Linked DNA regions of Oryctolagus cuniculus. The protein of the gene in region 5 interacts with the protein of the main gene of each other region in a biochemical or structural test. Links are inferred from orthologs where the notes say so. Each region holds a gene or a part of one and is shown on either strand. Other genes may lie near its edges. The genes, in order: TAL1, SMARCA4, SMARCA2, MXD1, SIN3A, ZBTB16 and KLF16.

Evidence for each region.
Region 1: the proteins of SIN3A (region 5) and TAL1 form a complex in vitro, tested with the Homo sapiens proteins (2 studies listed by BioGRID). The link is inferred for Oryctolagus cuniculus from reciprocal best matches to the Homo sapiens genes SIN3A and TAL1.
Region 2: the proteins of SIN3A (region 5) and SMARCA4 form a complex in vitro, tested with the Homo sapiens proteins (2 studies listed by BioGRID). The link is inferred for Oryctolagus cuniculus from reciprocal best matches to the Homo sapiens genes SIN3A and SMARCA4.
Region 3: the proteins of SIN3A (region 5) and SMARCA2 form a complex in vitro, tested with the Homo sapiens proteins (2 studies listed by BioGRID). The link is inferred for Oryctolagus cuniculus from reciprocal best matches to the Homo sapiens genes SIN3A and SMARCA2.
Region 4: the proteins of SIN3A (region 5) and MXD1 form a complex in vitro, tested with the Homo sapiens proteins (4 studies listed by BioGRID, with this or other methods). The link is inferred for Oryctolagus cuniculus from reciprocal best matches to the Homo sapiens genes SIN3A and MXD1.
Region 6: the proteins of SIN3A (region 5) and ZBTB16 form a complex in vitro, tested with the Homo sapiens proteins (3 studies listed by BioGRID). The link is inferred for Oryctolagus cuniculus from reciprocal best matches to the Homo sapiens genes SIN3A and ZBTB16.
Region 7: the proteins of SIN3A (region 5) and KLF16 form a complex in vitro, tested with the Homo sapiens proteins (2 studies listed by BioGRID). The link is inferred for Oryctolagus cuniculus from reciprocal best matches to the Homo sapiens genes SIN3A and KLF16.

What each region holds. Positions count from the first base shown.
Region 1 is NC_091438.1:125,621,153-125,625,296, forward strand, and holds the start of TAL1 (T-cell acute lymphocytic leukemia protein 1), read left to right. Parts: upstream 1-1,344; 5' UTR 1,345-1,405; intron 1,406-1,411; exon of another isoform or gene 1,412-2,391; intron 2,392-3,892; 5' UTR 3,893-4,053; intron 4,054-4,144. UniProt on the Homo sapiens protein: Implicated in the genesis of hemopoietic malignancies. It may play an important role in hemopoietic differentiation. Serves as a positive regulator of erythroid differentiation.
Region 2 is NC_091447.1:66,695,000-66,699,135, reverse strand, and holds the start of SMARCA4 (transcription activator BRG1), read left to right. Parts: upstream 1-1,336; 5' UTR 1,337-1,364; coding exon 1,365-1,504; intron 1,505-4,136. Other genes in the region: protein YIPF2, read right to left, coding at 344-421, 497-666, 989-1,019. UniProt on the Homo sapiens protein: ATPase involved in transcriptional activation and repression of select genes by chromatin remodeling (alteration of DNA-nucleosome topology).
Region 3 is NC_091432.1:164,360,317-164,363,644, reverse strand, and holds the end of SMARCA2 (probable global transcription activator SNF2L2), read right to left. Parts: intron 2,619-3,328; coding exon 2,476-2,618; intron 2,442-2,475; exon of another isoform or gene 2,336-2,441; intron 1,366-2,335; coding exon 1,330-1,365; 3' UTR 501-1,329; downstream 1-500. UniProt on the Homo sapiens protein: ATPase involved in transcriptional activation and repression of select genes by chromatin remodeling (alteration of DNA-nucleosome topology).
Region 4 is NC_091433.1:132,738,366-132,741,865, forward strand, and holds part of MXD1 (max dimerization protein 1), read right to left. Parts: intron 3,284-3,500; coding exon 3,169-3,283; intron 1,777-3,168; coding exon 1,617-1,776; intron 1,369-1,616; coding exon 1,181-1,368; 3' UTR 1-1,180. UniProt on the Homo sapiens protein: Component of a transcriptional repressor complex together with MAX. In complex with MAX binds to the core DNA sequence 5'-CAC[GA]TG-3'. Antagonizes MYC transcriptional activity by competing with MYC for MAX binding.
Region 5 is NC_091443.1:108,567,923-108,571,422, forward strand, and holds part of SIN3A (paired amphipathic helix protein Sin3a), read left to right. Parts: intron 1-1,111; coding exon 1,112-1,350; intron 1,351-3,370; coding exon 3,371-3,500. UniProt on the Homo sapiens protein: Acts as a transcriptional repressor. Corepressor for REST. Interacts with MXI1 to repress MYC responsive genes and antagonize MYC oncogenic activities. Also interacts with MXD1-MAX heterodimers to repress transcription by tethering SIN3A to DNA.
Region 6 is NC_091432.1:105,951,504-105,955,539, forward strand, and holds the start of ZBTB16 (zinc finger and BTB domain-containing protein 16), read left to right. Parts: upstream 1-1,236; 5' UTR 1,237-1,564; intron 1,565-1,624; exon of another isoform or gene 1,625-1,825; intron 1,826-2,519; exon of another isoform or gene 2,520-3,637; intron 3,638-4,036. UniProt on the Homo sapiens protein: Acts as a transcriptional repressor. Transcriptional repression may be mediated through recruitment of histone deacetylases to target promoters. May play a role in myeloid maturation and in the development and/or maintenance of other differentiated tissues.
Region 7 is NC_091447.1:58,917,212-58,921,359, reverse strand, and holds the start of KLF16 (Krueppel-like factor 16), read left to right. Parts: upstream 1-1,348; 5' UTR 1,349-1,498; coding exon 1,499-1,934; intron 1,935-4,148. UniProt on the Homo sapiens protein: Transcription factor that binds GC and GT boxes and displaces Sp1 and Sp3 from these sequences. Modulates dopaminergic transmission in the brain.

The DNA.
Region 1 (4,144 bases), on a different chromosome or scaffold from region 5:
TTCCCACCGTAAGGGCAGTGCAATCCCCCAGCCCAGCCTAGGTTCTGGCTGCCCCGCTTCATCAGCTGAACACAGAATAGACCTCTTGCCGAATTTCCTGGAAACCAGGTTCCACGGCTCACTAGGTCTCCGACACTGGGAAAGGTGCTTTTTCTCTCTGTGCCTCAGGCTCCTTATCTGGAATTAAGGATGATACAAAGATGACAGAACGCAATTGAAAATAATAACCCCTTCTCAGGGTTGTTTATGAAGATTAAATAAGTTAGTATCTGTGCAGTTCTTAGAATGGGGTCCAGTAGCAAGATTAAAATGCTTGTTAAAAACACTCTGTAGGGCTGGCACTACGGCTTAATGGGAAAGCCACAGCCTGCAGTGCCAGCATCCCATTTGGGTGCCGGTTCCTGTCCTGGCTGCTCCACTTCCGATCCAGCTCTCTGCTATGGCCTGGGAAGGCAGCAGAAGATGGCCCAAGTCCTTGGGCCCCTGTATCCACGTGGGAGACCTGGAAGAATCTCCTGGCTTCAGATTGGCCCAGCTCTGGCCGTTGCGGCCATATGGGGAAAGAACCAGCAGATGGAAGACTTCTGTCTCTCTCTGCCTCTGTAACTCTGTATTTCAAATAAATAAACTAACTTAAAAAAATTACTATGCAGGAGTGGTGTTTGTGGGCTCAGGCCTCACCACTCCGTCCCAGGAGTCCTCTGGGTTTGAGCTGCCAGCTCCATTTTCAAAGCAGAAAAGGACCAGGGCTAAAGGGGTTGGAGGGTCGGGGAGGGAGGAGCTGGGGGCTTTCTGGGATCAGATCTGCAGGGGTCCGGGACCCTGGAGAGGGAGGACTGGGAGGTGGCAGCTTCGGTGTTGCCGCAGTCTTCAGAGTCAGGGACAGAGCCAAGGGCTCAATGGAAGTCGCTCAATGGAAGCCTGTGGAAGGCCGAGGGCCTGTGGCTGGGGGCGCGGGGCTTCCCGCGAGGCCTCGGGATCCGAAATGGAGGCTGGGCCTGCCCGGGCGGCCAGCGCGCAGCTCCGCACGCGGCGCCTTCCGGAGCCGGTCCCCTCTCCTCCCCCCTACCCCCACCCCCGGTGAATTTGCCAAATTAAAATGAATCATTTGGCCCATAATGGCCGAGGCGCTTATCGGGGGCGGGCGGACCCGCGGCAGTGCCTTATCTCCGCGGCGCACACGGCCCCGCGCGCCTCGGCCCATGCTAACGAGGCCCCCCGAACGTGAGCGGGATTAGAGCGCGGCGCGGCGCGGCGCGGCGGGGCCCGGCGCGGGCGGCGCGGGGCGCGGGGCGCGGGCGCGGGCGCGGGCGCGGGCGGGGCGGCGGGCGGCGCGGGCGGGGCCGGCCTCACGCCCGGGCCCGGCCTCAAAATGGCCACGCGCGCACCCCCGCAGCGGACAAACGTGAGCATTGGGGCCTTTGGCCGGGGACGAGCGACCTGCGGCCTCCCGCCGAGTTCCTCCTCAGTCCGCCTTCTCCCCGTCCACGCCCGCAGAGGGGGGTTCCCGCTCCTCGCGGCCCTTCCGTGGGGGGCATTTTCCACGGACGCCCCCGCCCCTCCCGCCGCCGCCGACTCTTCCTTCCTTCCCCTTCTCCTTACGCAGCGCACAGCAACGCGCGCGGCGGCGGTTGGTGTTCATTTCTCCCCGGTGTTGTGTGCATGCGGTGGGGTGGAGAGTGCGCGCGTGGGCGCTGTGGGCCATGTCGACTGCTCCCGAGCGAGGCCGTCCCGCCGCAGGGTGCGTGTCCGAGTATCGTGGTGTGCGCCGTGGGTGCGTGGCCCCGGACCCCGCGAGGCCCTTCCGCCTCGTCGTGACTGTAGCTCTCGCCGACGCTCGCGGGCCGTGTGAGCTGGGCTGCGGCTCTGCGTGGCGGCGGCGGCGGCGGCGGACGTGTCCTGGAGGTGTCGTTGTTTGGCCGGGCGCGCGTGCTCCCGGCTGGGTCGGGTTGCGCGTCCGTGGGCGACAGCGCGGGTGTGATTTCGTTGTGTCGCACTGGACCGTGCGCGGGCCTGACCCTGCCGGCTCGTGATGTGTGTTGGCGGCCGTCGCGTGGGGCCCCGGCCGTGCCGAGGGGTGCGCCCGTACGCTAGCGTCCTTTGGCGCTGCCCGCGCAAAATCGTTGGGGGCGGGAGTGGGGGAGGGCGAGCGAGGGATCGCGGCGGCATGGGGGGCGGGGAGCGGGCTCTCACATTTTATTCCAAATTATGATGTATTCTGGAGCCCGCGTAGACGGGGATGGGCGGACGGAGCCCGGGCCAGTCGGTGCCTCGGCGCAGAGGGGTGCGCCGGTGAGCGGCGGCTCTTCCCGGCTGGAAGCCGAGCGGCGCTCGCTCAGGCCGGCACCTTCAGGCCGCGTTCGCGCCGCACGCGGGCTTCGTCCATTTCGGGTTAGTGTTGCGGGTGCGGCCACCGGGGTCTGGGGGAGGGGTCCCGCTCCAAGCTTCGCGGCTCGCGAGGGAACATTTTTCCCCGCGGCGGGACCGTCGCGTCGGCTTCGTACAAGGGCGGGCTCAGCTCTGCTCCAGCCCGGGAAGAAGCGATTTTGTTTGGCCTTTTACTGTAACCGCTGCTGTCCTCTTCCTCGTTAACGGCCTGTTTTAATTAAAATAATCGTCCGAGAGCGCGGTCGCTGGGTCCCGTTAGCGTCTCTGCGGGGAGAACAAAGCGACGCGGGCTTTTTTCCCGGCTTCGTTTTCTAAGTTGCTGGGTTCGGGGTAGGGAGAGGAAAATGGAGAAGAGGACGGGCGCCTAGAGTCGACCATAAAGCAGACGTCCCCTCCAGGCTGACAACGGGGATGGGTGGCCCCCCTCCCCTCCCCCAACGGGATTAGACGAAGAGAAAGGAAGCCTCCGCGGTGGATGGGAACCCGAGGAAGAATTGTTCCACAAAGCCTCGGCACCGAAGAGGCCCTCGCGGTGGGCGCCGGACGGTGCGGGCAAACCGTATTAAACAGAACCCACCGGGGGCGGGGGGAATAAAAGCGACCGGAATTGGGCTACAGCCTCGTCGACCGAATCGGTTTGTTTTTATCCGCCCGCCCTTCTGCCGCGCACGGTGCTGCGGCGGATCTTTGGGGTTCTGCCCGTCGAGATCCCGAAAAATCGAAACCTGTTCTGTAGGGGCGGTGGAGAGGGTGGGGACTCTCTCCCCTTTTCTTGGTGTTTCTTCTCTTCCCTTTCCCTCCTTCTTCCTTCCTCCTCTCCTCTTCTCCTTCCTCCCCTCTGCCTCTTTTTCTTCGCCTTAGTAGGAAAAAAAAGGCCCCTAATAGATCGCGTATTCATCCCCCCCCCCCCCCCCGTTGTGACTCCATTCCTGCGGCAAACTGCAGCCCTTGGAATTGGGTTCTGGTTTCGTTTTGGGGTGGACGTGGAGAGCTGGGGGTCCTGGAGAACAGGTACTCCGCGGTTCTGCCCTCTGGACCAGGGTCTGAAGACGGCATTAACCTTTCCCAACACCCCCACCCTCCATCCGCCTCAGCCCCGGTGCTGTCCCTTGCGACTGTGGCGGCAGCTCGGGCCTGGCCTGGGTGGCCGAGCAAACCGCATAGACGCGTCCGCGCTTAGAAAACAAGCTGGGCCGCGCTGAGGCAGGCCCGTCCCTGGTGGAGGGCTCCGAGGCGGCCCGGTTCCGGGCGCGCTGCCGGGAGTGGTCGCACTAAATCGTTGTAGCTGATTGGTCAGGCGGAGGGGTCTCTTTTCACGGGGAAGGCTCCAGACACCTGCAGGTTGGGGGTGGAAGGCTCTTTGCGAATCCCTGGACGGGTTGGGGGGTGGGGGACGTGAGGTAATTCCCAGCCACTGACCCCCATTTCTCTCTCTCCCTCCCTCTCGCCCTCCCTCTTTCTCTCCACCCCCATCTTTCCTGGAAACTCGCTTTGGGCGCGGCAGTCCGCCCAGGACCACACGGCAGCCTAACTGTTGGCCTCTTAGGGAGCGACCAGGAAAGCGAGGACGCCTCCATCCACAGTCGCGACCTCAGCCACCGCCCCTCTCTGGTGGAGGAGTAGGGACCCTATTTAGAGGGGCCAGTCTCTCTAAATATGCCCCAGGTAAGTTTGGGGGGGGGGGCAAGGCTTGGGTCTCCGCCTGGGGTGGGCAAGACTCCCGCAGCGAGCGGGCCCAGTCTGGGATTGGGTGGGG
Region 2 (4,136 bases), on a different chromosome or scaffold from region 5:
CCTGGGTTTCCGGCCGGGCTTATCTGCAGACCCTTTCTCGGCTCAGCGCTGGTCCTGTCACCTGCCCAGGGCAGCGCCACCGTGCGCAGCAGGTGCGTCCCCACCCCAGGCCCTGGGCCCTTCCGGATGCGCTCCCTCCCGGAGCCCCGCCCCAGGCCTTTGCGCCTCTGTCCAGCTCTGCCGTCCTGAACAGGTCCCAGCTCTGCAGCCTTGGTTTCTCATCACCTCCTGGCTGGCCCACTCCTCCCCTCCTCCTTGCTGCCCCGGCACCCCCTTCCCCGGCCCGAGGCCTTGCCCTGAGAGCTCGGGACTGAGCCCCGCGCGCGACAAGCCCCAGCCTCACCTGCCAAGTGTCCACGTCGAAGAAGCTCTGGTAGTAGCCGAAGGTCCAGAATCCGGGCTGAGGCTTCTCCTGCAGGAGCTGCACCCGACACCGTCAGTCCCTGCCCGACAGCCTGGGGGACACGAGCGCTTGGGCCACGCTTGGGCCACTCACCGCTGCCTTGTCGCCGCCCTCCTCCTCCGCCTCCTCCTCTTCCTCGGCGCCGTAGCTGCCGCTCGAGCCCATGGCCACTGCCACGTGCCCCTGGGGGGTCACTTGGTCACTCTTGCTCGTGGTGGCGGCATCGGGGGTCTCGGCCAGGAGATTGGTGGCTTCCTCGAACTCTGGGGAGGGCGCATGGGACGCAGGTGTACCGCGCGGCCACCTCGGTGGTCTTCCCCGAGCCAGTCTGGGGGCACGGGGAAGAGAGCTGTCCCCTTAGGCGAACCCGGGGCTGCAATGTAGGGTTCGTCCTGGGATGGGTCCTGGGACGTCACGGGCCCGGGGCACGAGTGGAGGTGGATGGAGGTGGGTCTCACGCGGGGGTCGGGTTTCAGATCCGGGGTCAGGGTTTACCACCGTCTGGGATTCTGGTTAACTCTGAGCCGGAAGCTGCCCGGCCAGGGGCCGCAGTGGGGGCGCCGGGCACGCGCGGGCCGCACTCACCGTGGAAGGCCAGCTCGTCGGCCGCTGCCATGGTCGCCGGGCGTCCTCACTGCATCCCGCTCTGAGGACGGAGCTCCCTTCCCGGGGCCTGTGCCCCGGCTCCAAGCACTGCGTAGTGGCTAACGGCACCCACGGGCGCTGACACTCGCCGTCCTGGCCCCTACAGGTGGACCCCGCCCTGCCCACCTGCTGCTGCCTCGGCCGGCGTGGCTGCGACTAAGTGCGCCTGCGCGGCCCGCCCACCCTCGAAGCGAGCCGGGTCGCTCCGGACAGCAACATCCGGCGCCGGTCTGTTCTCTATACTCTTCCGGCGGGAAGCCACGTCCGGTAGCGTGGGCGCGTGCGCAGAAGGCACTGCCCGGAGCTTTTATTTCGGATGCCGGGTGTTTCCTTCCGGAGAACGGACCTCAGACCGGAAGAGGATGGCGGCGACCGCTCTGAAGAGGTTTTGGGCCCGAGGACGCCGAGAAGCGGGAGACGCGGCGGCTGCCAAGCCCGGCGTGTGGGCGCGGCTGGGTAAGTAGGGGCGGAAGGCGGCGGTGGGGGTGTCCGCAGCGTACCCGGACGGTTCTGATGGCGCGTGTTTCCTCCCAGGCGCCTGGGCCCGCGCGCTGCTCAGGGACTACGCCGAAGCCTGCCGGGACGCGGCGGCGGCGGCGCGGGCGCGGCCGGGGCGAGCGGCGGCGTGGGCGGCGCTGCTGGGCGGCGCGGCGGCTTGCTGCTCGCTGGCGCCCAGCGAGGCGGCATTCGAGGAGGCGCTGCTCGACGCGTCGGGGACTCTGCTGCTGCTGGCGCCGGCCACGCGCAGCCGGCCTGCCGAGGGCTTCGTGCAGCGGCTGCTGTGGCTTCGGGGCCGCGGGCGCCTGCGCCACGTGAACCTGGGGCTCTGCTCGCTGGTGTACGAGGCGCCCTGCGACCCCCAGGCCAGCCTCTACCAGGCTCGCTGCCGCTACCTGCAGCCCCGCTGGGCCGACTTCCCGGGCCGGGTCCTGGACGTGGGTTTCGTGGGCCGCTGGTGGGTGCTGGGCGCTCGGATGCGCGACTGCGACGTCAACGACGAGGAGTTCGCGCACCTGCCCGCGCACCTGCGCGTGGTCGGGCCGCAGCAGCTGCGCTCCGAGGCCAACGAGCGGCTGTTCGACGAGAAGTACCTGCCCGTGGTGCTGACCGCGGAGCAGGTGGACCAGGCGCTGTGGGAGGAGCAGGTGCTGCAGCGGGCGAGGAGAGACCGGCTCGCCGCGAGCGAGGCGGAGGCCGCGCGGTGAAGCCCCGCGGCGCCGTGCCCGGGAGCGCGACCCCCGAGCCGAAGACGTCGGACTCGTCCCGTGCGTGGACCTGGCCTCCTGTTTGCATGACGGACGTCCCCGCTTGTGTCTTGTGTTTACTTTGCAATAGAAGCTGGAAAAGTACTGTGGAGGCGTCCTGTGCGTTCTTGACCCGGGCGACCCCCCCCCATCGGCCGCGCGCGTGGGCGCCCCAGGACCCGACGGGGAGCCGTGCGCAGGAACGGACGCACTGGGGCGGGCGCCGCTCTGCCCCCCGCGCACCGCGCTCTGCAGGGCCGGCAGGTGGGGGCCCCAGGACCTGGCCCCCGGCCGCCCGTGTGCGAGGCCCAGATGGAGCTCCTGCTGTTGCGGGTGTCTGGGGAGTGAGCTGCGGGTGGGAGGGGTCTGTCTCCTCTCTGTGAATGTCTCCGCATCCCGCGCCAGCCGGCTGTGACCGGCCGTGTGGGCGGGGCCGGCGAGGACGTGGAGGAAGAAGCTCTTTGTGTGGGAACCCGAGGGAGTCGCAGGTTCCGGGTTTGTGGGGAACCAGCAACGCAGAAAGACTTCTATGGAAGGGAGTGGGCGAGGGCGCGGGACCCGGACCGCGAGGGGTACGGGAACCGCGCTTAGAGCTGGATCGCGGAGAGCGATGGAGCCGTGATGGTCAATAAAACCCGGAGGAGAAGCGGCCTGGCTCAGCGTGGTTCTGTGCAGAGCGCACGCGGTGGCCTCTGGCCTGAGTTCTGGGCGCGGAGCGCCTGCGCAGTGGGCGGCTCCACCTCAGGCCGAGCCGGGCTCAGGTCTGCGCCTCCCAGGCCCAGCGCCGCGGCTCGTCCGCGCTGCACAGCCCGGAGCGTGGTGTCGGGTGCTCGCTGTGGTCGTCTCTGACCCTACCTCTTGCCCAGATCACTCACTACTGCTGTCTGGGCTCCGAGTGAATCTGGGGTGCAGAAGTCAGTGTGAGGACTGGAAGGACGCGTTGCCAGTGCTGTGGCGCGGAGGGTGGAGCCCCCACCTGACACCAGCATCCCACGTGGCGCCGGGTCAAGTCCCGGCTGCTCCACTTCCCGTCCAGCTCCCTGCCACCCATGTGACCCAGCCCTGGCTTTTGTGGCCATCTGGGGAGTGAAGCAGTGGATGGAAGACCTCTTTCTCTGTCTCTTCTCCCTTTTGAAATAAATAAACCTTCAAAACAACACAAATGAGAATTCAGAATTTAATCCTACGTGGTCACTTGTCAGCGACCACCGACATCCTGCCTCCCGGGGCTGCCGTGTGGCACATGGGTCAAGACACACATTCCGTGTCGCGGGGCCTGTAAGGGTCCTGGATCGGCTTCTGACTCCCGCTTCCTGCCAGCGTGCAGCTGGGAAGGCCACAGCTGAGGCCCCTGCCCCCCGTGGGCCATGCAGGAAAGTTTAAAAATAGTTAAACCGCACCTTTGTTAGGAGAGAAGATTGGCTGGGGCCAGTTTTGTGCTGCACCGTGGGAGGCCAGCATTCCGTACGGGTGCTGGTTTGTGTCCCGGCTGCTCCACTTCAATCCAGCTCCCTCCCAGTGCACCTGGAAAAGCAGCGGAGGCTGGCCCAAGTCTTTGCCCCCTGCACCCTTGTCGAGACCCAGATGAAGCTCCTGGCGCAGCCCCAGCCGTTTGGGAATGAACCTGCAGGTGGAAAATCCCTAACTCACATCAGAATCTTAAAGAAAAATGGTGCTGACCACGAGCCCCGAGAGGATCCGCAGGACCAGGCTGCCATGAGGACTACTTACAGAGTGACCCGACGCACAGGCCAACGCACGCCCCTGCCCAGAGGAACCACGGCGCAGTGCCGCTAGGGGCGCACCACGCTGTGGCTGGGTCTGACAACGGCGTCCATCTGTGG
Region 3 (3,328 bases), on a different chromosome or scaffold from region 5:
TACTGTGCCAGCAAGTGCCTGGCACGTGACCTGAGGCATATCCGAAAGTTCTGTCCCAGGCCTTACCGCTGGGGAGGTGGGAAAGGGCTCTGGAGCGAGCTTACCTCCCGAATCCACCTTTGGTGTGCTCAGCCCACACCGTCTCCACTGCTGTATTCCTGTTTGTAAAATGGGAACGGGAAGTGCCTTCAGAAGGCTCTGAAGCAATGCGACCGACAGACAGTACTACGCTGGCACCTGGGAAAGAACTAGGCCTATTTAATGCCTGAGGAAAGGCTGAGCAGTGCCTTTGTGTGGCCTGGCCCATGGCGCCTCCCTCGTGGTGCACACACACCTGAATTCTCATTCTCTCTCTCTCGTCCCTTCCAAGGAGCCTCCCTGGCCCCCTTCAGGAAACAGTCCCCTCAAGCATGAGGGGGTCACTCCCTTAGGACTCAGGAGTAACAGGCAACACTGGAGAGCTATGGTGTCTCGTTACTAGGAAAGCACCAACGCCACGGTTTTGAAATTACTGGAATTTTATTTGCCTCAGGCTTATGACTTGCAACCAAAGACATTGTGCAAAGAAAGCAAAGATTAAGTACACTTTAGGGAGAAGGAGACGATACACATCGGTAACATAGGAGATCAGGTTGACCAAAAAAGCCATCCAGTACACTATATAGATTGCAATATTCAATAGCGTTTTCAACAAAACTTTTTTTGAAATCAAGAGCAAAAAAAAAATTTAAGCAATGTTTACAGTAGACATAAATCTTATACAATTCAAAAAGCATTGTTTTCAGATCATAGAGCATAAAATGGAAAAATGTCTATGCAGGTGAAATGTGACTACTGTACATTTATCACCTATTAAAGTTGCTTATATGTACCACAGTGTAAAAAAAAATACCGAACAAATAAAAACCTGGAAAATTGCCTGATGAAAAATAAAATAACCAGTGGCTTTTAATGGCTTCTCCTGGTTATCAGTGCTACAAAAGACAAAAATCTTCTCATCTGAACGGGTGATAAAACCAGGCACAATCAAACTATTACCAAATTAGACCCACCCATAGAAATATACTATCCACCCACATATTTTCCATCAAAAGATTGGTTTGTTTTTAATCTTTGAATCTTTGAGGCCCATTTGGTCACAATATGTTACAAATGTTGTGTGTGTGTGTTTTTACACCATGATATCATATGTTTGTCTGGCACTATCCTAAAGCTAGTTTATAGATGAGGATGATGACAGGGCCCAGTGCCACTATGACAAGTAGGTTCACTGGGCAGAGAGGGGAAGGAAGGAAGTCAGTTTTACCAAGGAAAAAAGGTCCAGACTGTTCATTCATCATCAGTCCCGCTTGCTTCCGACTGTTCCTAGAAGGAAAAACAAGAGGAAATGAAATAAAATCCCAGGAACGAGAGGAGACACCTTAATAAGCCATGGGCAGGCAGAGAAAGAACAAACGGCCTTTGAGAAACAGCGGAGGCTCCACATCTTTCTGCAGGAAGACAGAAGCACACCCAAGAGGCACTGACAGCAGTAAGGCCAAGAAGAGGGCTTGTCATTAAAATCCCAATGCCACACGCACCCCCACTTTTGCTAGTGGGTGCTCCCCTTCAGTCTGGGTTTACAGGTTTGTGGCTAAGTACTCTGTGTTTTTAGCCCTATGCCTTGGAAGATACATGGGAAGGAAAAACATCATGTATTTCCTGTCTGCTCCACTCGTAAGTGGTATGAGGAAAACACAGGGCTTTCAATGCATTTGAAAACAACTGTGCCCAGTGGTTAAGGCTGGTGTAAGATGATGACTCTGAAACTTACCATCATACTAACATGGACATGAGTTCCCAGAAAGAAAAAAAAAAATTGGCAGGGAAAGTAGAAGGAAGGTAGGGCAGGTTCAAATGCCACTGTCCTGTGCTGTGCAGACTTGGTCTGATTTCAGCTCTGCTGGTCACTTGCTAGATGACCTGCAGCAAAATGGCTAAATCACTCTCATGTTTTGAGAGTGGCAGCACACGATGCTGGGATAAATATGTACCAATACAGGAAGGCACCTATTTCCAGGCCTCAATCAATGCTCCCTGAGGTTTTTCAAATATTAAAAAAAAAAAAAACCCTTAGGTGCTTAAAAAGTCATTTGGGTTTTCATATGGCACCTTACTGAGCAACTCAAGTCCAAAACTCCGACATCCCAACACCTTTTCTCATTCTTCCATCTACTATATACAAGGCAGCACGACAGGCGTGATATACAAAATATGAATCGGCCATGGAGAAAACTCAATTTCTAAGATGAAAAACTACAAAATCGAGTTCTCTTCTCCCCTTTATTTTCTGCAGACTACTGAAGCAATGCACAGAGCCCCCAGATCTGTGGTCGAAGTCCTGCCGCTGTGTTCCCGTCCTTCAGGGATGGCATCTCGCCCATCGACTTTGTCACCCACAGGTGAGAGGGAGCAAGATGCCAGCACTGCACTCACGTTCTCATCCTGCTCCTCGTCGCTGTCAAAGTCGCTCACGACAGGCTTGGCTTTTCCTCGATTTGGCCTTTTCTTCCCTTTTCCTTTGTCTCGGCTTTTCTCATCTTTTTTATTGAGCTTGATTTTCACCTTAACCGATTTCGCTATGCAAGAACAAACGAAAGAGCCATCAGTGAGGAGACACGCAGCAATGCTTTTCACGAACCAGTGACGAGGCGAGCAGCCACCGATGACTGGCCACATGGTCAGGGTGCCTAGGAACTTCCCAGCTCCTGCCGTCCTGTCCAGTCGGTGGCCCCACACACGCACGCCTCTCTTTGGCAGATGAACGCTGTCACAGTACACAGGCCACGCGAGGGAAGGTGGCCTCCCAGGCAGGGTCCTTCTTTCCGGGCTCCTGCAGGCAGACGGCGGGAATGGGAAGCGCCTTTCCTATTTCAGGGAAGTGTTCAGGATGCATTTAATGGGGGGAAGGCTGCAGAGGATGCGTGCAGATCACTCTAGCAGATGGAAGCAGAAGGAAAATACCAATAGTTGAATAATACTTTTACCACAGGAAGTAAGAGAGTAAACACTCCTCTCCCTCAGCCTATTATTTCTAGGGCGGTGGGGAATGTGTGACAAAGGTGCTTCAGCCAGTTCATGGAACAAGGCATTAAAGGATAAAAATCTGTGAAATGCATGCATTTTTCTGCACACTTTCTGAAGACCTCTCCTATACCTGAATTACTTATGTACTTATCCCAATAGGATCTTTGTAGCTGGTTATATTTCACATATGTGGGATGAGTGTACCCATCAGCTCATGCCTACCTTCCTCAATGTTTGTACCACCTGAAAAGACCCCCTTGTA
Region 4 (3,500 bases), on a different chromosome or scaffold from region 5:
ATGTACATATACATGTGCTCTGTTTTAGCTTAAATAAAAATGCTACAAAGTGGGAGACCACTTAAGGGAGAAATCATAACCAAAAAGAAAAATCAGCCTTTTAAACTATCAGCCCAAAAGCCTCCAGAAAGAAGTTTCTGGGTGTATCCAAAAATAATCAAGAAGGAGAGGGATTCTAGCAACCCCGTCCCGTCCCCTCCTGTTCACCTGCAACACAGAGAGTAGAAATGCGGACTTTCTCTTTCACTGATGATGGCCACCAGCTCAGCTAGTGCCAAAGCTCAGTTATTGCTGAAAGTTAAATAGGAAAATAGATTAGCATTGGACCAAATGTCACTTATGGGGGGGGGGGGGAGAGGCATAATCACTTTGTGTTAAGTGGGAAATGGAGATCTCATTTATCTCTGAGGTAGGAAAAAAAAAAGTTCCAGAGACAAGTAGCACTGACAAACTTTGAGGGGAAAATGTGCCTTGAGACAGCGGTACACAGCAAGGTCCCATGAACACTGCACAAAAACACATGGTGCCGTTTTGTTTGTGAGAACAGTGGTGGAACCTTCCTCGGCTGTGCGAGCCCAGAGACACGCTGTCGAGTGGGAAATACTGCTCCCATCCAGGGCGGCGGCGACCGGGGTGCGCGTGGGCAGGTGGCAGGGCTGTTTGCCGGAGGTGCTCCTGACTTCCTCGCGGGGGCGAGGCCCACGGCGAAGAGCTCTCGAAGCTTCCTTTGGAGTTCTGAGGTCAGGATCTCCACTTGGAAAGCTGGTTTCCTTCAGTCTCCTAAGCACAAGACACACTCAGACACTTCTCCCAGGCAGGTAACACAGTAAGCCAGAGAACTCGGCAGAAAAGTCTGGTGGACGACACGGGACAGGAGAGGAGACGGGGACTTGCTGAGATGCGACAGTTGCTCGCTCGGTCTAAAGAGTCTCGGGTGCTTCAGACTGACTGGAATGTACAGTCTCTCAGAGACGGATTGTGATGGAGAGAACGAGAAGCTAGCGGGTGCCATCCGATGCCCACAGGCCTAAGCACTTCCTTGGAAACTGTGACCCAGCTGACTGTGTAGAGGTGGGGTACACGGACGTTGACGTGCGAGGGCGAGGCGGGCAGGTCCAGTACACTACCTAATCAGAGCCGACAGGGAGAACCATCCAGGGGGCGGCCGGCACACGCGCCCTCAGAGCCCGAGACACACGTCCTGGCTGTCCTGCAGCTTTATTCTCTTGACGCTGGCGCTGGAGTAGCCCTCGTCACTGCCCAGGCTCTGCGTGCTGGCCCGCTCGTCAGAATCACTCACGCTGCTGCTGCTCCAGTCCAGGTCGCCCGTGAGATAGTCTGTGCTCTCCACGTCTACATCGATCTCCTCTGCAGACGGGGCGGGGGGAGGGGAGAGGGGGGAGGAGATGGGGGGACACACACACACACACACACCCGTCAGTGAGGGCGCCTACAGAGCTCACAGGCTGACGGTCAGACCTCCCCCAGCTGAACCCTTCTTGGCCGCTGCTACCTAACGCTAAGGGGACAGAGAGATGCCCTCGGGTGGGCAGACACGGCCCTCAGCGCCCCACCCGAGAGCAGCGGGAGGCGCACGGAGGGGCCGGGTGGCTCACCCCTGTCGGAGTCGGAGCGCTCCGAGGAGACGGTGGAGCCGATGCTGTCCATGCGGACCCTCTCAATGCCCAGCTTCTCCAGCTGCCTCCTCAGGTGCCGCTGCTCCCGCTGCAGCTGGTCGATTTGGTGGACGGCTCTTCTGTCACAGTCTTCAAGTTTCTGCAAGTCAAAGGGCCGAGTCCTAAGCTGCCATGCCGCACCTTCCCGCCCTGCAGGGAAACATGCTGGTGTCCTCAGAAGCCGTTTGCTGTGGCAGGAAGTTGGCTGGCCTAACCTCTGCAGCACTGCCGTGGCTGTGGGCACGCGCCCTCACAGCGATTCTGGGTGAGCTCTGACACTCTGGCCCCTGCCACCCCTCGGTTTGGGTATGGAAAAGACTGCAGGCCGGAGTCTCCAGCCTGGTCTTCATACCCATCGCCTGAACACCCAAGCTCTGGGAACACCCCAGCTTCACCAGATGGAAGCTTGAGGAACACCCATCCGTTCAAAATTAAGGAGGTTCCTTTTCTCTCGGAATTGTCCTCAATGCAGGCTACCAACCACAATTCAGTGATATGTGTGCTGGACAGCGACGTGGCGGTGGCTCTCAGGAGTGTGGGCACAACTCGCCTTATCAGTGCCAGTCACCTGGGCACTGAGGGTCAACCCTGAGCTGGATTCTCTGGGAGGGCAGGGGCTGGACAGAGCACAAAACCCAGGCCGCTTCCCTCGTGGAATCTACAGGCAACTCAACAGACACACAAACCACCACCAAATGCCAACTGTGGCAAGTGCTGGGACAGAGATACCCAGACATGACCACCTGTCACAGAGAGAAGCAGACTGAGTCAGGAAGGCTTCTCTGAGCTCATGAGACTCGTGCTGAGATCTGGAGGGTGGGTAGTGGACAGTTAACAAGGTGGAGGAGACAGGGAAAGCATACTGACCAGAGGCACTGGCACGCACAAAGGCCCTGTGGTAGAAGCACACGAGTGCAAGAGTCTGAAAGATGGGCTGGACAGAGGGGAGTGTGGGGACAAGATGATGCTGCAGGTGAGGGCCAGGTCAGGCAGAGCCTGGGGCAGGCCTGGTGCCAGTTTGTCCTGAGCCACAGAAGAGCTGTAACTGGGCAAGGGGTTAATTTGAGCTTTAGAAGGAAGGACCTAAGGAGAGCAGATAGGAAGGGAAAGAGGGAAGGGAGACAGCTGAGGAACTGCACGCAGTGGACGGTGCTAGGTGAAGGTGGAAGCCGACCAGGGTGTGAAATATGGAGGCCTGGACGTGGCTCAGGTGTGGTGGCTAAGGAACACGAGCTACCGAGAACGCCGAGTTTCTGGGTGTGCAACTGGATGGCGAGCTGGCTGGATCCTTCATTCCTGGAGTGTGGGGTTGAGAGATACTCGGATGGTTTTGGACATGCTGCATCTGCGGTGTCTTTGGTTCATCTAAGAGGTGGGTTGGAGGAGCTCAGGGGAGAGGACTGTCCTGGAGATAGTCTGTCCCTCACAACAACAGAAACACCCTACTGGAGAGAGAAGCTAATGAGGCACCCCAGCATAAAGCGGCACTTACCTTTATGTGCAATTTGGCTTTTGTTAATAAACTCAACGTAGTGTGTCGATTTGATTCGGGCCCAAGTGGCACCAGCCCCTTCAGCTTCTCCAGGCACAAGCGAAGATGAGCCCGTCTAGAAAAACAAGACCGCAGTAGCATCTGAGAGTTTCACAGTGGGCCAGCAGGCAACCCGGGAGGAATGAGTCCTAAACGAAATGAGGCCCAGGCCCAGGGATGGCAAATACTGCCAATGACCTCTCGCCAAATAAAGGCCTTGTGAACCCAGACAGCTCTGGTGAAAACCAAAGGGAAGTGAACTCCAGTGGTATTCTAAGTTACGTCCATCTGTG
Region 5 (3,500 bases):
TCCGTGGGGATTAGCAGACTGCGGGGCCTTTCTTGGCTGCCCGGGTTAGCCAGGCTCAGTGTGCATCTTTGTGGCACGGTGCGAGTCCTCACTCCCGACCACTGTGCCTGCCAGCGGGGGGCAGCAGCCTCCTTGCCCATTGGCGCCGGCAAGGGCAAGGAGCAGTGAGTTGTGGGCTGTGTTTGAGGGATGACCTGGGGAAGGTGAGTTCCTGTATCAGTCAGGACGCTGTAAGACAGCTTCCAAGTCCAGGGACCTGGGAAAACGGGGTTCATGTCCAGCTGGGGACTTGGCTCTGAGGATGACCGCATCTGGTTGTGAGAGGGAAAGAGCTAAGAAGGATCTGAGATGCCGGAATGCTCCCACCCGGAGCAGTACCAGGACTTACACTCGTCTCACAACTCGGTTGCCACACTAGATACGGGGCCCCGTGCGATCGTGAGAGATTTAGAGAGTTCAGTCCGTTGCTCATCCATAATTGGGAGCGGGGTCCTGGAACAAGAAAACGTGGGGGACACCTTTGCACACTGCTCATTGCTGCACCCTCTGTCCCTCATTTAGACTCTGTGTGAAACCTTGGAGACGGGTAGTCTAAGGCGTGCAGTGCCAGATGAGCGAGACCTCTTCCAGAAAATAAGTGGCCAGAGTAAGAATTCAAGTGGTTACCCCCAGATAGAATGTGGACTCCACGAGAAGTGAGCGCCAGCGCTCAGACTACTGCTGGCTGTGGAGCAGGCTGTGTTGAGTGGTGTTTGGTGAGGGATTTCAGCAGTGCGTGACGCTCAGGGAGAGTGGCAGCAGGGTGGCTCCCGTGTGCCCCTCTGGTCTGTAGGGTCAGCTGTGGAGAGCAGGGCACAGTGCTGTGAGGGACCACCGCCGCGTTCTCGTCTTGGCTGGACGTGTCTGAGTGCCAGCTGCTGTGCTGGACTCTTCGTGTAGATCGTACAGTCAGTCCAGAACAGCCTCAGGAGGACCCCGGGTGCTGCCGCCTTTGGACTGTGCTGCAGTGGCAGAGCCGGGCTTGGTCAAGGAGGTGAGCGTCCAGCCCGGGTCTCTGACCCCGCCGCTCTGTTTTGGTTTGGGTGCTAAGCACCTTTGTTTCTCTCTCCAGCTGGATGTAGTTTTGGAGACCAATCTGGCAACCATCCGGGTTTTGGAAGCAATACAGAAAAAGCTTTCGCGCTTGTCTGCCGAGGAGCAGGCCAAGTTCCGCCTGGACAACACGCTTGGCGGCACGTCGGAGGTGATCCACCGCAAAGCTCTGCAGAGGATATATGCCGACAAGGCCGCCGACATCATCGATGGCCTGCGCAAGAACCCCTCCATCGCCGTGCCCATCGTCCTCAAGAGGTGCCTGGGCCGGGCCCTTCTGCTGTCCTGTGCTGCGCCCAGGCTCAGGCTCCCCTTCAGAGCTCCTGCTGGCCTGAGTGTCTCCCCAGCCCTGGTTGTTGGAAATTGGGTACAAGCAGGAGAAGGGACCTTGTTGTGAAGGTTCTGTGTAACCAGCTGTAGAGAGCAGGTGTGGGGCTGTTGTGAAACACAGGGAGAGCCGGCCGGCGCGCGGCTCACCAGGCTAATCCTCCACCCGCGGCACCGGCACCCCAGGTTCTAGTCCCGGTCGGGGTGCTGGATTCTGTCCCGGTTGCCCCTCTTCCAGTCCAGCTCTCTACTGTGGCCTGGGAAGGCAGTGGAGGATGGCCCAAGTGCTCGGGCCCTGCACCCACATAGGAGACCAGGAGGAAGCACCTGGCTCCTGGCTTCAGATCGGCACAGCGTGCCAGCCGTAGCAGCCATTTGGGGAGTGAACCAATGGAAAAGGAAGACCTTTCTCTCTCTCTCACTGTCCTAACTCTGCCTGTCAAAAAAAAAAAAAAATACAGGAAGAGCCAAGAAAGAAATGACCCATGTTCCTACCGTTCAGTCCTAGCTGTTATGAAGATCCTGGTGTGTTTTATAATAAAAAATCACTCTTCGTAGAATTTTTTTATTTATTTGAAAGAGTGACGGGGAGAGAAAGAAAGAATAGATGTTTTCCATCCACTAGTTCATTTCCCAGAGGGCTGTAATAGCCAGGGCTGGGCCAGGCCCAAGCCAAGAGCCCAGAACTCCATTCTGAATGCCCACACAGGTGATAGGGACCTAAGCACTGGGACCATCTGCTGCCTTCCCAGGTGCATTAGCAGGGAGCTGGATTAGAAGCAGGGTGGCTATCACTTGAATTGGCACAGCATCACAGGCCACGGCTGCGCCTTCCGTGCCACAAGAGTATTTGTAAAAATTGAGACATGCTCGTGAAAACAGTGTTTGCCATTTTTACCAAGAATGTTTGTCCTGATAGACCAGGCACGGTTGGGTGTGGAGGGCTGAGTACCCACCTAAGGCTTCAAGCAAGAGACCACAGGCAGGGCTGAGCTCCAGCGTCCTTTCTAAGTTCATGGCATTCCTTTTTTTTTTTTTTTTTTTTTAATTCTTTATTGGTTTTTAATATTTGAAAGGCAAAGAGACAGGCACAGACTTCCCATCTGTTGGCTCACTTCGGGAATGTCTGCAGTGCCGGAGGCGGAGGCCAGGAGCTGGGAACCCAATCCAGGTCTCCTGCATAGGTGTTAGGGACCCAGCCACTCAGGCCGGCAGCACTGCCTCCCAGGGTTGCATTGGCAGAAGCTGTGTTGAAGTTGGAGGCCAGAACTGGATGTTGAACCCAGGTCCTGGCAGGCGGATGTAGGCCAGTTGCCTGCCCCCATTGGTACTCTGACCGTGCTGTGACGCTTTGGCTAAGAGCTAAATCCTCTCGGTATCACCTGGCGAACGTTGATTGTTTGCTGCACAGCTCACACAAGTCCAGATTTTACCTTTCGTCCCCAGCCTTCCCCTAAAGAGCAGGCACACGCTGCGGATTATTCCTCTAGCCAGTAGTGTTTGACGTGTGGCTTCTGAGGTGCAGATTAGCCTTTAGTTCTGGTGCTGTGTTGGTTTTCATTCTTCCCTGGAGCCTCAGAGTCAGGGACTCCGCTTGGAGCTTTGCGGACTGTGTCCAAGTGTAGGAGAGGGCCTAAGGCTCTCCAGCTGTCTGAGGCAGAGAGCCCCTTCTTGAAGGAAATGCACCCTCGCCCCAGGGGGTTTTCTGGGGTGCTGTTTGGGAAGTAACTAGATTAGATTTGTGGTTGTGGCACCAGTTACTGCCTCAGAGTGCGTCCTGAATGGCTGATTCGCCACGTGACAGTCCAGGCCGGGTCTGATGACATTTGCCCCTCGCTGTGAAGGACTCCAGCAGCCCTAGTGATCTTTGGGTTGGAAGTCAGCCTGGCATGCCTCTCCCTTCTGGGCCTGAGTTCCCACTTGTCGCTGTGTGCACCTCCCTCCCACGCAGGCTGAAGATGAAAGAGGAGGAGTGGCGAGAAGCTCAGAGGGGCTTCAACAAGGTGTGGCGAGAGCAGAACGAGAAGTACTACCTGAAGTCTCTGGACCACCAGGGCATCAACTTCAAGCAGAACGACACG
Region 6 (4,036 bases), on a different chromosome or scaffold from region 5:
CTCTGTGAGTTCGGATCAGTTCCAATATGCAAACTCTGCCCCCAGGTCTTCCCCTTTTTGTCTCTGTCCGGCTTCTGCTACCTTCCATCACATCACAGTTCTAGGGCCGGCCCAGTGCCAGGGATTCCACGCTAGTTCTGCGGAAAACCTTTGGCCCACCCGCCAGGCAAGGAGGGAACACTCAGATTCAGTGACTGACGCCTGGCGCTGCTAAAGCCGCCTGACGTCGCGGACTGACTGCACTGAGACCCCTGGATGGCGCTCTTGCCGCCCCCATCCTCCTAGCGTCTGGACTCCAGCCGGAGGCCTGCACGGCGCTGGGAAGAGCGCTTCCCACCTTTTGCCCCGCGCCTCCGGCTGGCTCCATAAAAAAGAGGGGGAAGGGAGCTTTCCGCAGCTCGGGGAAGGCCGGTTTCCTACGGTGGCTGCTCCCGGGGGTTAGCGGTGCGAACTCTGCCCTCCGGAGTGCGTGCGGAGGGGTAATGGGGGGGGGGGGGGCTAGGGAGCCCGGGAGGAGGACGCCCTGCAGGGCGGTCTCGAGCGTTTCCAAGCTGCCACCGGCCCCGAAGACTGCGCTGAGCAGTCCGTCTAGGGGGTAGAGGGACTGAGCCGAAGAAGAAAAAGTTTCTCTCCGGTCTCGACCTCAGCCTCCAGTGACCGCGGCTGCCAAAACGGGGCGCCCCCATGGACAGCACATCCTCGGGAACCCCTGGCACCTAGTTCAGTAGAACCCGCTGGCTCTGCGCCCCGAGACTTCTTGCCCCCAGATGCTCATGCCCGGCGGCGCGCGGGGTCCGAGGGGCTGAAGGCGCTTGGGCGTGGGCTGGGCACTTTGGCAAACAGGGGTCCTGAGAGGCGGGCGCAAAGCGGGAGAAAAAGTGAAAGGCTAGGGGGCAAACGCTGGAGCCCAGCACAAAACCCCGCGCTTGGAGCGCCGGAGTGGGAGAAACAAATCCGCGCCCAGTGGCAATGAAAAAGCTGCGAGTGAGGTGGGAGCTGCCCCTGGCCCCCCAGGGCCCGCACGGAGCGTTGCGAGCCCCCGCCCGGCCTCCCCATCACCGGCCCTGGCGTGCTCCCGGCTGGGCCGGAGCGCGGCGGCCGCGGCGCCCCAGCAGCAGCTAGGTGTCAGGCGAAGCCCGGGGCGCCGAGCGCCGCGCAGGCAGAGCGGGTGGGGCGGGGAGCGCGCACGGGCTGGGCCGGCGCGGGGGGTGGGCGGGCTGAGCCCGGGGACAGCGCGGGAGGGGGAGGAGGGGGCAGCTGTGGGCAGGGAGCCGGGCTCGGCCGCCAGCACTAAAGATGGAGAGGCGCCGGGGCCTCGCAGGGGAGGGGGCTCGGCGTTGACGTGAGACGCGGCGGAGGCGCCGCAGCCGGTGGTGATTTGCTAACCTCACAGCACACAGGAGTTGAGGGCGATGAGAGCGGGTACTGCGAACTGCCGGGCGATGCCGCCGCTGCCGCCGTGAACCCGAGAGCAACAGTTCCTCCAGCAACACCCCTCCCCGACGCAGGCACACACCCCCCGGCAGGCCCGCACGCCCACCCCACGGCGCCCGGCTCGGCAGCGGTGAGTGGGGGCCCGGGGAGGGGCGCACCGCCCAGCCAGCGCCGCGCGCCCGGGCGCCCCGGGGCCGGAGAGGTCGGGGGGGTGGCGCGTCCGCTCGGGCCACTCGGCCGCTGCGCTTGGACCTTATTTCATCCCGCGTGTTCCTTTCCTGCGCTGCAGCCGCCGCCGCCACCGGTTGGGGTCAGCTCCAAGAGGGGAGCCCCGGCTGTCAGCTTGGGCGCAGCTGCCTCCCCAGCCTTTCCTCCGCAGGGCACGGTCCGGGTGAGAGGCGGGGAGCTGGGGCGCGAGCATAGGGTCGGGGATCGCGAGGCTTTATACAGCCAGGGGCCGGTGGGGGCTCATATGTATGCGGACGGCTGCGCGGGCGTGAGCGAGGCTTGTGGCTTATTTATTTGTTTATTTGCCGGCCGGCTGGGAAGCTAGACTGAGAGGGGCTGGCGAGTGGATCTGGGGCCGAGGCGAGCAGGATTGGGACACGTTTGGATTTTGTTTTCTCTTTGAAAAATCCTAGTGGGCCCTTCTTTCTTGATTGGACTTGATCCCCCATTTTTTGGGGGGGGTAGGGTGGAGAGGGAGAGAAGCTCCGAGGGGCGCCAGTGCTCCGGGCCCTCCTCGGCTCTCGGCAGGATTGGCCGTGGCGCCGGAGCTCGCCGTGCGCTCCCGGCCGCGCTCGGTGGGCGCCCCGGCTCTGCACCTGATGCGTGCGGGATGCCTTTGCCACCACGGCGCGCCAGCGGCCGGCTCTCGCAGCCCCTGGCGCACTCCCGCACGCGCCCTAAACGCGCAGATCCTGCCGGCCTGCGACCCACTGAAACGCACAGACGCGCTCCGCACCGGCTAGCTCGCCGCCTCCCCGGGTCGCTCGCCACGTCCCCGGGCCCGGCACGCCCGGCGGCTGCTGCCGCTGGCCCGAAACCGGGAACCTTGCTCATTGCTCCCCGGGGGTCACGGCCCTGGGTCGGAGCCGGGGGAGCCCGGAGATCCCCTTATCTCCCCTTCTCGCACGAGTCGCTGCAGGGCTTTTGTGCTGCCCCTTCGCGGCGGGCCGGGTCCGTCTCCCAGCCCGCCGGACTCGTCGCCTTTCGCCTGCTCTCTTTCGTTTTCCCTCTCCCTAGCTCGGCTTCTTTCCTTTCAGGCGGCTGACTCCCCAGGAAAAGTTGCTTCCCCAAGTTTGCCGAACTCGTCTCCAAGTCTCGGCGGGGGTCTCTGGGAGCTCGGGGCGTGTGCGCGCGTGCTCGGTGCCCGCAGCTCGGGCGGCTGAGTGCTGGCTTTCCCCCGAGCCGCGGGAGTGGAGCCGCAGCCTGCGCCGGCCGCATCGAGGGCGCCGAGCGGCGGGTCAGGCGGGGGGACGACTGACCCAGGGCACCGTGGTCTCCCTCTGGAGCTACAGGGTTGGTTTGGAGGAAAGGGGCACTTCCATTCTCTTCGGTTGCCTCCTCCTGTTTTCCTGCAACTCCCGGGTCTGCAGGAAAGCACAGGGCAGCGAGGCGTGCGTGGATGGCCGTCCCACTCTCTGTGGCCACGGTCCCCACCCTGGGCTGGGCAGCTAAAGTGTCTTGACCAGCCAACCCCGTTAACCCTTTCTTTCTGCTTGAGCTAGGTGCCTTAGGAGCCAGTAGGGCTGCTTTTGGGCGTGGTGAGGAGCAGTGTTTGAGGAGTGAGGCGCGCGGGCTCTGCTCGCCGCCGTCACGCACTGCTGCGATATCTGCAGCCAGGGAGAAGTTGGGAGGGGCCTGGCCGGCCAAGGCTTCCTGGTACTCCTTGAACGGGGTGCGGAGTCCCGACCAGGCTCTGGGAGAGACCTTTGTCTCCCAGCCCTGTCCTCACACCATGGATGCTGGTGCCAGTGTCACTTGCAGCACCTCTGAGACTGGCCAGCATCAGTTGCTGCTCCTGGTCACAGGACTTGCCAACTCCTGGGAGCCTCTGGGAGACTTGGAGGCCACGCCCAGCCCAGCCTGGGCACCGCTGGCTGTTGGAAAGCCCTTTCTTATGATTACTCTTTGTAACTGCCTGGCCCATTGGCCTTCAGATTTTTGCCGTTCCTGTCCCTGAGCACTTGTGGACAGGAGGGTGAGTGTGGGCTCTTGAGTTAATGCTGTCCCTCTTGGCTGGCGGGCACACAGTGACACAGAGTCCAGATTGGGGGCTCCATATGCTGTCACTTTAAGGTCGCTGTGGATGGAAGTGACCCAAGTGAGTGTGTGCAGGTTACATGAGTGTTGCTGTGAGCCTAGAAGGAGCTCAGGGCCGGGGGCAGCCTGGAGCAGGGGACAGAGGCCCGGGAAGGTAACAGCCAATGGTGAGAGGGCGGGCTCGGGGAGGACAGCCCATAGCCTGGAGGTGTCTGTGGGCCACAACTGCAGCCTGCCAGTCCCTCATTGCACTTTTGCTTGGTTCCTGGGGCTGCCAGAGTGGGGCAGGGTTTAAAAAAGGCATTGTATCGGAGGTGAGGTTACAGGAGGCGGAGGG
Region 7 (4,148 bases), on a different chromosome or scaffold from region 5:
CCCCCAGGCCCCTGACCGAGGGCGGGACGGTTTGCCGGGCCCGCGATGGTTCACCCGCGCACACAGGAGGCCCAGCAGCCATGGTCCTGCGGATGGGCTCTGCTGGGCCTGGCCAAGGGGCACGTGCGTCCCAGTGGCCCCGTCGCAGCTTCCCGAGGGCCAGGCCTCCTAAGGGAGGCCAGCGGGCATGGCCAGGTGTGCCAGTGGCCAGACAGAGGGCAGCTGGCGGGGGTGGCAGGCGGGCGGGGCGGAGGGGGCGCCCCAGGATGGGACCAGGGCCAGGGCCGCTGTCCACACCCAGTCGGGGCAGCTCCGCCCCCTGGAGGCCGCGCCGGCCACTGCACGGCCTTCCTGACCGGCGGGAGCCGGGGAGGGCGGGAGCGTGGTCGCCCGCTTCCTCGCTCACAGCCCGGGCCTAGACTCTGGGTGACCGCGGCCGTCTGCGACCCCTGAAGTCCTCCCCAAAGCTCAACAGCACGCGCTGGGCGTCCTGGGGGGCGCTGGCCCGCGCCCCGAGCGAGGGTCCTGGCTCGGGACCAGAGTCCCATCAGGGCGCCCAAGCTTTGCCTCGCCGCCCGGAGCCCGGCCCCGCGCCGCGGGCCTCCCGGCGCCCCCCACCCGGCGAACCCCGGCCGCCCCACCCCCGTGGGACAAGCACGAGCCACTCCAGAGCCGGGCGCAAAAACAGGAACCAGCAATGGCGCGGCCGAGCGGGCGGGCGGGAGGGTCGGGCCCCCACCCCGCCGGGTCCCGCCGCGGGGCAGCCGGTGCCGCGCGGGGTTTCGGGCGTGGCGGCGGGTGCGGGGCCGAAGCGGGGCCCCAGGCCGGGGAAAAGGTGGGGGGGAGGGTCGCGCACGTGGCCTGGGGGCGGGGCCGGCCGCTTCCGCACCCCCCACTCCGGCCACGTGGGGATCGCAGCCCTCCTCCCATGGCGAGCGGGGGCGCGCCCGGGGCCAAGGTGGAAGCGTCCGGGCTGGGGGCGGGCTCCCGCCGGTGGCGCGCTCCGGCGCGGGGTGGGCGCGCCCGCGGGGAGGCTGGGGCCGGGGCGGGGCGATCCGGGCGGGCGGAGGAGAGGGGGGCGCGCCGGCAGCGCGCTCCTCCCGCGTGGGGCGGGGGCCGCCGGAGAAACGATTGAGCGCGCGCGCGCGCGCGTGGGGACCCCGCGCTCTCCAGCGCCGGGGTGGGCGCGCCCGGGCCGGGCTCCCCCGCCGGCCCCGCCCCCGCCGGCCGCGCGCGGCCCGCGGGCTGGTGGTGGAGGGCGCGCCGCGCGGGGGGCGTGGCCGCGGCGCCCCGAGGGGGCGTCCTCCGGGCGGGGCGGGCCGCGGCCGCCCCCGCGGGCTCCGGTGCGTCAGGGCGCGTCAGGCGGGGCGGGGCGGGCCGAGCGCGGGCGGCGGCGGCGGCGGCGCGCGCCGGGCCTCCTCCTCCTCCGCCTCCGCCTCCCGCACTCGAGCAGCCGCCGCCGGCCGGACGGGCGCCGCTGCCTCCTCCTGCGCCCGGCATGTCGGCGGCCGTGGCGTGCGTGGACTACTTCGCGGCCGACGTGCTCATGGCCATCTCCTCGGGCGCCGTGGTGCACCGCGGGCGGCCCGGCCCCGAGGGCGCGGGCCCCGCCGCCGGCCTGGAGGTGCGCGCCGCGCGCCGCGAGGCCGCCCCGCCCGGGGCCCCGGCGCCCCCGCCGCCGGCCCCCGGCGCCCCGGCCGCCGCGCCCCACCTGCTGGCCGCCAGCATCCTGGCCGACCTGCGCGGCGGGCCCGGGGCCGCCCCGGGGGGCGCCTCTCCCGCCTCCTCCTCCTCGGCCGCCTCGTCCCCGGGCTCCGGCCGCGCCCCCGGCGCCGCGCCCGCCGCCGCCAAGAGCCACCGCTGCCCCTTCCCGGGCTGCGCCAAAGCCTACTACAAGTCCTCGCACCTGAAGTCGCACCTGAGGACGCACACAGGTGAGCCGCGCCGGGGCCCTCGGTCGCCCCCTCCCCCGTCGGGACCCCGAAACTGCGTGGCGCGTGGGGGGCGGGGAGGGGGCGCGCCCGGGCCGCCGCCGCCGCCGCCGCCGCCGCGCCGGCCGGGAGGGCGGGGCCCCGGTGGGTGGGGCGCGCCGGGGGGCGTGGCGGCCACGCGGTCGGGCGGCCGGCGGAGGGCGGCCGCGGCGGCCGGGGTCGGGGCAGCCGGCCGGACCGCGCAGCCCCCCGGGGAGCCTGGCCTGGCTTCTTTCTCGTTCCCTTTCGCCCTGCGCCCTGGGCGGTGGGCGCCGCGGTCGGAGCATCCGGCCTCAGTTTCCTTATCCGAGGAGGGGGAGACGGCGCGGGGTCTCCCGGGAGGGCGCTGGCGCCGGGCCAGGGTGGGGGTGCCCCGCACGCCGTCTCTCCCTTCTTCTGTGCTCGACCGGGGTGGGAGGCGGGGCTGGGAGCCGCGCGCCTCGGGAGGGAGAGGGCCTTGGAGAGGGGCTCCTGGGAGGGGACCAGACCCCTCCGCTCTGCCCCCGTGCTGCCCCCGCACACCCACTCACCTGTCGCGGGGTCCAGGCGGTGGCCCGGCTGGAGGGGCCAGCGGTCAGGCGGCACTGGGCCCCTGGCAGGCTTCCCCGGGGGTCGCGGGGACGCTAAGAATCCCGCGCTGGGAGTTGTTGGGTACCCCCCCCACCTCGGGACTGGGCCCTGGGCAGGTGGGCATCGGAGGCCGTGGGCGAGGGCGTGGGGGTAGGGGGTGCGCGCCCCTGTCTGTGTAGACTCTACAGTGGGGGTGGGAGGGGGTGGTGGGGGCGGCACTGGGAGAGGGCTTTGTCCCGGGCTGCGGGGGGGGGGGGGCAGGCGGGATGGGGTCTCTGGTTCATGCCAGGAGCCCCCGTCACTCTCTCTGTGGGGGGCATCCTGAGTGTGGGAGGCAGGGGTCTGCACTTCTGTGGGTGACGTTTGGGGTCCCCCGCGGAGGGCTCCCGGGCCCTGGCTGGTTGGGGGTGAGCCTGGGCTGAGGGCAGGCAGGCCCGGGGGTTCCCAGGGTGGAGGTCGTGAGCTGGCCCCAGCCTGCTTGCCCAGCCTTGTCTCTGCCTGGCTTGGGTGGAGGGAGAGGCCAGTCATCCTCCCACGGGTGGACGAGAAACCGAGGCGTGGGGGTCCTGTCCCCGAGCCCCCCTCCCAGCAACAGCCTCAGGACCACCTGTGGTGCTGTGTGACGCCAGGGTCCCCTGGACGCCCCTGGGGTCACTGAGCGGGTCCGGGGAGCAGGCCGCTTTTGGTGGAAGGGGTTGGGGGCTCCCGGCTCCCCCACCCTGCACCTGAGACCCCCGGGACCAGCATGCTGGCGTCCACGGTGTGCGAAAGATCTGGTGAGGAGCCGTCATGAGGCACCGGCTGGCTGCAGAGCCGCCCCGGGCGGGGGGCCTTGACCTGGGAGAGGGTCCTGCCCCTGCCCCCCCTTCCTGGGGACCTGCCCCCTCTTCTGCGGGATCCCCGGCCGGCAGCCTGGGGCTGTGCGCGAGGGCCTGGCTGACGGGAAACGTGGCGCCCCCGTGGCCCTGGAAGGGGCAGGAGAGGCAGGAGAAGTGCAGGGTAGCAGCCCCCCTGCACCTGGCCCGCAGCCCCCAGCCCTGCCAGAGAGCTGCGTGGAGCCGGGAAGGACTTTGGAAGCTATGGGAGATGTTGACGCCGTTGCCATGGATACGGAGCAGGGCGCGGGGGCGGGGGCGGAGAGAGGCTGCCAGCCACCAGCTCCTGCACCCCCGGGGCGGGCGGGCGGCTCTCCCAGCCCCCCTGAGCCGAGTCCCCGGTGGGAGGGGTCTCTGGTCCCCACTCCTCACCGCCTGGGGCTGTCCTGCGCTCCACACGGTGCCCCTGGCCCCCACCCCCTCCGTGTCCGGAGCAGCCCCCAGGTGGGACAAGCAGCCAGGCCCCCAGCGTCACCCCCGGCTGTAGCCCACCATTTATGTTGAAGCCCTGTGTGCCGAGGCCTGAGTAGGTGAGCACCTACTGTGTGCCAGGCGCTGATGAGAGGAGAGGGCTTCCTGGGGGCGGAGGCTCCCGGGCTGGGGGTGGGGGGCCCTGGGGCGCAAGGTGAGGGCTGCACTAATCCTGGGAGTGGAGGCTGGGGAGGCAGGCCCGGCTCCGACCAAGGCGAAAATCCGGTTACAGAGGAGGGATTAGGGTGGGGGAGGGGCGCGG